2 linked regions of the Caenorhabditis elegans genome follow. The protein of the gene in region 1 purifies or fractionates together with the protein of each later gene. This does not show direct contact. Each region holds a gene or a part of one and is shown on either strand. Other genes may lie near its edges. The genes, in order: sem-4 and egl-27.

Region 1 (5,231 bases):
TATGATAACGGCCGATTGAGAAAGGGGACTATGATTGTACAATTAGAGACATAATTTGAAGTTTTCAAACGAACAAATTAAAACATCGAAGCAAAACGACAACTTCAAGTATTTAGATCAAAAGATCCAAAGTAAATCCTGTTTCTTCAAAAAACACTGGAAGCAACAAATTTTGAACTTTCTAGATATCTTCAATTGTTTTAATATAATTTTGGGTAACCACACAAAATGTCGCTGTACATTAACTGTATAAAGTAAATTTCAATTTGAAAATTTTTAAAGTGAATGATTCATTTCTTTGAGAACTGGAAGACTGCTCAAAATTGGATATTTTTAGGCTTTAATTTTTTTAAATTAAAATTTCCAAAAATATTCCAAAATGTTTGCATACCCCTAGAGACCTTTACAATTATAATTTTTTCCGAATTCAATTTAAGAGCAAAATTACGGTCCTCCAAAGTAGTAGTAAATAGACTCGAAAAATCTGCTCTCAAAAAAATTTCAGCTGAAAGTTAAAACAAAAAATCTCGTCAAACTGCTCGGAAAATCAACGATATTTCTTAACCAACTTTAGCGTTTTTCTAGGTGCCATTTACGGAAGTGGCCGAAGTTGGCGAAATTTGGCTGAGAATTTGGTGACGAGTTGCCTTTTGCAGCTGAAATCTTTCAATTATCAGATAGTACTGGATTCAAAGGAACTACCCAAACTTTCGTTCGAGGCGAGAATTACATGACGCTATCTATTTTCAGTTTTGAACTGTTTGATTGTGCAAATATCGTAATTGAGCCCCTTAAAATAAAGTACTCTGGTAACTGCAACTCATGAGCAAAAACTCAAAAACTCTTCATTTTTATCATCTTATCTGTGTGCGAGTCAGTTGGTTTGATATCATCCATTCAATAATAGTCTCATTCATTCTCTTCTCACGCGCTCATAAAGAGTCCTCCAATGTTAATGAGTGTTATCCAAACGCTCCTCCTCCCCAAATATCTTTTTTTTCAACTCATCTACCTCTGCTACCATCAAAAATCCATAAAATATATGAGATGATGATACTCTGCTGGTCCTCAAATACACACTCTCACACACACATTGTGACACACACACATAATGTTTCAATTTTCGTCTCCATCGTCCAACCAATTCATATTGCTTGTTGAAGGAGGAAGCTCTGATATTGCACACTATTTCTCTCGTATTACACAAAAACACTATAATAAATGATCGAGTTTCGAGGGGAGAAGACCCACAGAAGAAGAATTCTGATTCGCAACAACAACGTCTTCATCCTGCCACTCTAAACTTCTTTTGTGTTCGATCATAAATTCGATTTTATGATGGCTCGACTCGACTCGTGTCGAAGGCGGCGGCTCGCGGACCTCGAACACAATAATGTTGCCACTTGAAGCACAAAAAAGAGAGAATCAATAAGGCTTTCAATAGAAAAAAATAATAATGGGCTCAGCCAATGGAAGAATCAGCAGAGAGATGAGATGACAATAAGTCTCAAGTCTCACACACAAGAGCACTTGTTCGTCACAAAAAATGATTTGTGAAGATGAAGCCGAGAGCTGATGGTGGTGGTTTAGAGACAACTGATACCGGAAATTATGATACAAATGATACACTTCTTTTCTCAAAGATGAATATAAAATTTTTTTGAGCATACGTGCCTGCAAGGCAACCTCGGCCTAATAGTAAGCCTATATATCTTTAAATAAAAAAAGGTTAATCTTAAATTTCAACATGTTTATAGAAAATATACGACTGTAAAATTTGTATGCACATACACAGGCAGAAAGTACCAAGAAATATTCTGCATACAAAGTCATGCTCTAAGAGACTGGGTCTTCACATTCATCGAATTGTCAACAGCTGTTGAAATGTTTGACAGTACTGAATGGAAAATTAAACTTTTATTGTCACAGGTGAAATATTTGTGAAACTCGTTTTGGTTAACATTATCTACTAAAAACTTTCAAAACAAATTTCAGTCTTGCTCTTTGAGCTGGACACCAAGTTCAAATTGTCAAATTGTCATCCCCTTTTCAACATGCTCTCATCCTTTCTCTCTCATGTCTGTCTGTCTCAGAACTTGCCAAATTGATTGGTTTTCTTTTTCTCCGAAACTCTTTCTCCCTTCCCCTTGCACTCCCATATTTGGACATTTTCTCTCTCTCTCTCTCGTTTCTCTGCTTTCTTGCTCTTTTTTCTCTCTCACTTTCTCCTCATAGTCGCTTATGATTGGATGGAAATGTGACGGAGGGGCGGAGCAATATGAAAAGATGAATGGAAATATAATAAGTGTCTCTGGTCTTCGGGAGGAGCTCTTTGGACTACGGTAGGTTTTGATTGGTTATGATTGAAAGAATCGAAGGAAAAGCATTGAAAAAACACTAAAAATGAGGTAAGAAGATACGAAAGAGATAGAGATAAGAGATATGTTATCATATTTGACAAGGTTCTGTGTTGGAAACATTTTAATGAAAAAGTGTTCCTTGAAGTGGAACAGATGTGACAGATTTCTCATTAAAACTTAAAAAAATGAATGAACGAGAAATATATGATAAATTATATTTAAATGAAAATGCCAAACTAGGATGGTTTTGGTAATATTAATTTTTTTTTAATACTGGTTTTCTAGCAAATGTCTCGTCCGAAACTATTCGAAGTAATATGAATAATATTGATAAGTTGATAAGAGGAATTGACATTAAAATTGTAAATTTACACCAATTTATTGTCTCCTTCCAATTTTCATTACTTATGTCCCAAAAACCCATAAAAACTAGTGATAACTGGTTTTTCTAGAAAGTCTAAAAACCTTCAAAAATGTAGAACTAAAATGATTTTGAAACATTCCAAAAGTGCGTTTTAAGTTTTAATATTCAACTTTGTTATTTTCGCAGAAAATTTCAAGATTTCAAGGTCGATCATCATCGCCTTGTTTCATTTTCTTGTCTTTTACTTCATTAAACACCCCGCATTTTCCTCTCATTTCCCTCAACTTACCACCAGACATTCGACGTGGTTTTGACTGTTTTCTGCGGGATGAAACCGCGGCCATCTCGGCGAGCAGCTCATTCATCTGGAGCTCTGAAAAGTTGAAATTACTAGAAGATGAGCATGATAGGCAAAGAATGAAAGAGTAATAGTGGACAAGAAGAGGGAAAAAAGCAGAGAAAAGGATACAAAACAACACACACAGAGAAAAGAGACAGAACAAAAACGATTTATATTAGAAAGATGAGAAGGCGACGGGACAAGGGGGCACATATTGCGAAAACAAGGCTATTATCAAAATTTATATTATTAGAGTAAAATGGTAAAAGTATTGAAGACACGAGATGGCAGTAAGGGAATGGGAATGGAATTCAATTGACGATAAAAAATTGAACTTTAAAATAGAGTCATTAATCATAAATGATATTGCTCGAATGAGCTAGTTATCGAGCGGCGAGCCTATAGTCTAAATTTGCCCATAATGCATTTTTGGAATGAACATTTTTGAATTATGCACCGGCTCGCCATTTGTCTTTGCAAAAGTTACGAAATACTTGGTTATATGACTGGGTTTAGGCCGCACCCAGATTCAGCCCAAAATTGATCTAACTCTTTTCAGCGTCTCAGCCAAGTTTAAAACGATACAATACAAGTTTCACAACAGCTAGATAAAACGTGAGTTTAATTTGGGTACATCATAAACCAGGACTTTCTCAAGTTTGCCCCGAGCTTTGTCAGTTTTTGAAAGAGTAATTTTTGGATCAACCATAGGCAATCAGTTCGCGCCAAATGACGAGTATAGCCGCAGAAGAATCTTGAATCGGATGATTTTTTTCGAGTGTAAATATGAAATTTTGTTGTTCATGGTTGGGTAAAGAAAGAATATCTCAAAAAATGATCAGGGGAAGGTAGTGAGTGATGATGTGAGTAAGTGAGGGTGTAGAAGATGAAAATCGTATAAAATGAGTGAGTGAGCGGTTCCCCTTTTCCATGAGGTGGATACGGTGTTGCAATTGAAATAGTTGGAAAAAAAGGATGGAAAAAAGATCGGATCGGTATGAATATAAAGTGCGAGATGCGGTTGAAGATTCCGTTAAATTTGGTGGGGTCTGAGTTCTGTTTGTGTGTGTTCTACAGGCTTTTCGGATTATGAGTCATCAGATCTTGTAGACTAGAATTATTTTAGGTTGAGTTGTAAAGTTTGATTTCTAAATTTAGATAGGAAATGAGGATCGGACGTTTTCAGATACAAGCCTTAGTGCAAAGCTAACCCAGAAATTTGTTATAGATACATATATCGCTATAAAGTGACAGTGTCCCTTTCTCGCAAATTGTGGCGTCACAATTAGTTTCTAGTACAAATCATTTTTAAAAATCATGCTCGACGCCAGACTACAGAAAAAATGGTTGCTCCGTCTTGCAGATGTTAAGCTTCTGTAAGTGAGCTCTGAAAGGTGTTAGCTGAGATATTAAAAATAACATGGCAGGTTGAAATTGTTTTATGTGAAAATGGAACTACATTATTGAAAGTTCTCAAGAAAGTCTCAACCTCAGAACTTGACTAAAAAAGCAGAAATTTCTAAAAATGGCAAATCAATGAATGAATAACTGAATTACTTGCATGATTTGTTGAATGATTGATAAAACACTAATTGAATTAATGAACACAGTCAACCCCAGAAAAAGTCTTTTTTTTTCTCTCTTCATCAGAAGACGTCGTCGATGATTCGAGACGAATTTGATGATAATTGTCACCCCCGTGGTGGTGGTGGTGAGGGGAGACATATTCGATTCGATTCGCGCCAGGTACTCATTCTTGTACCTGACGCTCCGGGCGCCTGTGTGAGGGACGAGATATGATCTGGTAAAATATGAGTTGTTGCAAAAGAGAGAGAGAAGGCGACCGCCACGGGAGACCGACACGTCTTCTCCCTCATACATGACTCCGCCCATTTTGTTCTTTTTCTTTTTCACTCCGTTTCAGAACTGATAGAGATGCAAGTAGTTTGGGCCCCCGGCAGTTCCGAGACCCAAAAGCCCCGCCCACTTTTAAATTGCCCATTTGAGATAGTGAGAACGAGAAGTGAGAGGGTGCAGAGAGGCAGAGATAAATGAATTACTACTGTGTGGGGCTCTCGATGATGATGAGGAGAAGCCTCCCCGGGCCTCAACCATGGGGCGGCTGTTTGTGTTGCAATTTTATGATTTAGCTAGATTGTGATGGAAG
Region 2 (4,833 bases), on another chromosome or scaffold:
TTTAGTATTTTAAATTTAAAAAAGAACTCACCTTAAACATGAAACTGGTTGTGTAATTTGTAATTCCGAATTAAATAATTCTCGATTTAATGATTGCTGAAAAATAAATGTGAGTAATTCTGAAAATCTTAAAAATTAAACTAACTGGACATAAATGTGGATTGATTTCAAGCTCAGCTCGTTCTTGTTTCATTAAATTTAAAGATATCTCAGGTATATCGTCTGCTCTGAAGTACCTCGTAAGTTTCACTACCACGTGATCTCGTTTTGTCTGAAAATTGGTATTCTTTATTTTGTTTTGAAAAATATATAATCTCTTATCATTTTTTGAATACTATGTGTAGCCCTGTCAAAGGAATTTACCTTTTTTGATAAACTCAGTTTTCGGCTTTGAAAATCCAGAAGAAAAATTATCCCTGCGTTGTCAAAACTAGAAAATATTGTAATTTTGTTGCTCTTAGAATTTTGGCTTTAAAAACTAGTTATCCCAATTTCCTATTTAAATTCTAAAATAAGCTCATCAGTTGGTCACGTGAATGTGCTTTGTCAACAACAAAGAGGAACATTATGTTCTTCTCACAGCTCATAAAAGTGAGCAAACTTTCTACTTTTATTGTGTATACTAAAATGTATGTTTTTGTGATGATACTATAAAAGTGTTTGAATTAAAAAGTTTATGTTTTTTCACTTTCAATGCATTCTCTAATTCTCAACGACTTCCCGCGCAATCCGATTATGACACGGTTTTTAGTGGGTTCTGAAGGACGAACAAGTGGGCAAATGACTCAATGACATCTTCCTTATACTTTTATGTTTAAAAAAGTATTCAGTGCTATCAGTCGAAAGGAAAACATGAAGGGAATACATGAACCCACTAAAACTGTGTCAATATTTACACAAGTGCGGTTCTCTCCTCCTCTAAACCAGTAGTTCAAGGAACAAGGGAATGAAGAGATATAGAGAACAAGTAAATTGATAGTTGTTTGGAATTTGAGAAGAGGTCAGCAGAGATTATAAAGTATCAAAGAATCTCTAGTTTCAAAAAGAAAACCTCATTTTTCATTTTCCAAAAAGTTCAATTTGTCCTTAAACCCCCTTTTCTATCAATTTATTTCGAAATTGTCAAACATCACCCGGTTTCTCGCAACATTAATTTTTAAATGCCGAATTTGTTATCTTATCGCTACATTCACTGAGTGTTGCCCATTATATAAATATTTCATTGTAACACTGTGGAACGATTTGATCTATTGTGGTTCTGATTTTTGAGGAACAAGTTTCCAAGAAACAATTATTTCAAAAACCTTAATATGGCAGAACCATCTGCTGACATGCCTCACGATCTCATTACTCACATATTTAAATCCGCATATTGCCGCTATCACATACGGCTCGTTTTGTGACACTTCTACGAATACTGAATCTCGTAGCCTGTACAATGTGCCATCATGTGATTGAAACCCTTTTAGATCACTGTCTTGTCGATACCGGTATACCTGAAAAAATATGTTTAGTAAATCAGTAGATTTGTATGTTTCAAACTTTCAACTAACGATATTATATTAGAAACTAGTCTGTCTTATTTATCTTTCCGGTTTCTCTGTATCTTTGAGGTGAAATGAACTAGTGTTCACTTGTACTTGTCGTCTGCGTCTCTCCTCTCATTAGCTTCAGTTGTCAATTGGCACCTCGTCTCACACTAGGTCAATGCCAACTAACACTAAACTGTGAGAGAATGAAATATTATGAGCGCACATTTCAAAACAAACAAACAAATCATATAATGCGGCAAAAAATGTTTTTTTGTGTTTGTGTGTCTATTGTCGCATAGTATCTATCTTTTTAACTCTCAAGCGTCTCTTTTGTTTGTACTCTCTTGAGGGAAGAAGCATCTCTCTGGGGTCTCCGAAAACTTCTGTTGACTTTGCTTTCCTTGCCAGCCAGAAAAAAGCAATTGTCTCGAATTTCAGATCAAAAATTGGGCAGCTGTTTTTGCCTCGCTTCGCTTTTTTTTGGAAAACATGCGCACAATTCGAGGAAGTATGCTGCCGACTGACAACTAATCTAGTCAAAGTTCAATTTTCAATTTTTGACGAAACGAGAAGAGAGGTCACTTCGGTTTTTTTTTCGGCTCGCGATCTTCTCAGTGTTTGACTATCTGGTTCTTCTCGATTTGAAGCTCGCAATGTGTGTGTGTGTAAGCGCAATGTTTGAGGTTTAGCCATCAAAACGTTTCGCAGAAAAAACGGGTGAAAAAAGATTGAAATCCAGGTTTTTGTCTATTTGTAGCGATGTTCGTCTAATCGGGAGAGAATTTGAATTATGACCAGCGTCTCCTCTTCCTTTTGACCTCCCCTACACACTAAACTGCCTAAATGTCTGTGTCTCTTCCAAAAACTCGACAGAACGACAATTAATTGGTTTTTCGAGTGTTGAGATATTGAAGGGGAAGAAGATACGCATACATAAGATGTCTATTCAGATTATAACTATTAAAGAGTACAGGAAATTACTCAAATTTCAGATTTTTGAATTAAAAAATGACTTACTATTCCACGGCAATTCCTATCCGATTTGCCTGTAAGACTATAATAACATGGTTCAATATCGTAATGCTTTTGGGAAAATTCTGGTTCGTCATCGTTTTCCATTGGGGAAGAAACGCCGTCTGAAATTTGATAATTTATATTTTAAATTATTTCAAGTAGGCGGTCTTTAGAATCTAGATCACACAATCAAAAGTTACAAAAAAGAATTGCCGCATGTGTCTTCTTATGTGTTCGTACATTTGTTCGACTAATCCGCTAAGCGCTAATCCGCAGCGAGAATCATAACATTTTACGCTGGTGAAGATGGGGCCATCTTTCTAAAAGAACGGCCCCCACTGGGAATACCCGTATCTAGGTTGACATGACATACAAGAAGACACAGAGACGGTTCAGTTACAATTTCATTACCTTGGCTATCCTCAGATGACGACGGCACACATTCGTCCTCTTTGTTGACGTCTTCACTACTGCACTGGCTGTCAAAGCGGCTCATCTTTGTCTTGTTGCCTTTTTTAGTTTTTCCAGTTTGCTCCCCCAAAAATGATGAACTATCCTAAAGAATTGGTCTTAATTTGAATCATTGAGAACACACGAAAATCAGCTGGATAAAAAATGAAAAGATGAGATGAGAGAGGAAGATGGTGATGAAAAGCACAGAAGTTCTTTTTTCTTTCCCTCCGGAACCCTCTAGAGCCTAGTAAAAACACAAACTAGAACAGCACCGAGGGATAGAAGAAAGGAAGACGGGAGAGAGGAAAGGGATGAAGACGGGGTGGGGTGTGGGAGTGGCGTGGGGCGGGCGAGGGTCGTCGTCGTCGGTTAGTGGGGCACATACACAGAGCACATACACGACTGGTCCGTTAGGAAAAGAGACATTGGCGGCATCGCCGTCGCACCGCATTCATCAAATATTTTGGTGTATTTAGCAGCAGGAGCAGGACCACCGAGCGCCAAGGAATCTGATTGACTCGGAAGATCCATTAGAAGTCAAATACAACAGTAATTGGTAACACACATTTTCTAACTTACACAAATCAAATCTTTTCAAGAACTTGAATTGTTCACTATTTTCACAATCAATTAAGATCACAAGAGAAAATGTTTACTTAACTCAAGAACTTGATCAAACTTCATAAAATCCTTCAAAAACCTTCAAGCTTAATAAATTACTGTAACTCGTCATACGTTCGCACCTACTTAGCGCATACTAACAGATGATAGTAAATCGCAACATCATCCATTAAACGACTTGTCTTGTCCAGCATGTCGCTCAAAAAAGTCAAGTGATGATAAGAAAGAGGAAGAACGACAATTGTCAAGAAGGGGCAAGGTGTAGGAAAAGAGCTCAGTTTTCACACGTGACCTCGGCTCAACTTTCAGAATGAGTCCTGAAGTCTAGATCCTAGTGGACACTGTACTCACATTCAACTACCATAAGAATTGGGGAAAAATAAGTGTGTGTGAGAGAATGAGAACTGTAAAACAGACGCAGAGAATAGTGCTAGTACATACCACAAAAAGGTGGAATAGTCGGTGGAAGGGGGAGGACGGTGTGGCGGGAAGGGAGGAGAGGTAGTCACCGAAGGAAAAGAGAGAGAGAGAGGTAGAGAGAGACAACCCGAGAGACGAGACAACCGATGTATGTTTGCGATCAAAAACAGTTCGACGGTGACAGTGACGACCTCAAAGCAGACCGCCACTGTGTCTTGGCTTTCCATGACGTGGCAACTTTTTCAAAATATGAAATAACTCATTACAAGTGTTGTTGTGCTCTTTCATTCAACCAAACAGTGAGGAACGATGAATTATAAGAGAAAGGGGGAACGGGGGATTAGCCAGAATTGAATAGAAGAGGATGACCTGCTAATGACAATATGGCAAACAAGATGAGAGTCTTATGAATATCATTTGAACATTTTGAGAATCAAAGAACTGGCAACATTTCAGATGTTTTCTTTTTCCAAAATTTATTATGATACGACAGCCATTTTCACACAGTTCGTAATGTGCATAATAAAAATACAAAACGTGGGAGAGACCTGATGGTTGGTGGTCAGGTCAATTGTCAGGCTAGACAAACATAAATGAAAGACTCATGGGTGGGAGGAGACTAACCAACCAGATAGATAGTTCAAGTGGAATACACAAAACTGACGTGATAACAACTAAACTGTCTAAATTTCAATTTTCAAGACATACAAAGAGAAATACGAGTTGAGGATTAATTGCAAAAAAGGGGAGGCACATCATTTTTTGATCTCTGGAACGATAATCCGTTTTTCTT

Evidence for each region.
Region 2: the proteins of sem-4 (region 1) and egl-27 purify together in Caenorhabditis elegans (affinity purification with western blotting, with the first as the bait; one study listed by BioGRID). This does not show direct contact.

What each region holds. Positions count from the first base shown.
Region 1 is NC_003279.8:7,036,766-7,041,996, reverse strand, and holds the start of sem-4 (Spalt-like protein sem-4), read right to left. Parts: upstream 3,098-5,231; 5' UTR 3,090-3,097; coding exon 3,014-3,089; intron 1,357-3,013; exon of another isoform or gene 1,286-1,356; intron 1-1,285. UniProt on the Caenorhabditis elegans protein: Transcription factor, involved in positive and negative modulation of transcription. Binds to multiple DNA sequence motifs in the regulatory elements of target genes, including homeobox selector egl-5 and LIM homeobox mec-3.
Region 2 is NC_003280.10:6,833,290-6,838,122, reverse strand, and holds the start of egl-27 (Egg-laying defective protein 27), read right to left. Parts: upstream 3,103-4,833; 5' UTR 3,043-3,102; coding exon 2,958-3,042; intron 2,669-2,957; coding exon 2,550-2,668; intron 2,537-2,549; exon of another isoform or gene 2,430-2,536; intron 1,497-2,429; coding exon 1,356-1,496; intron 272-1,355; coding exon 146-271; intron 97-145; coding exon 32-96; intron 1-31. UniProt on the Caenorhabditis elegans protein: Transcription factor which promotes stress survival and delays aging. Required for cell cycle progression and development of the mesodermal and endodermal embryonic lineages.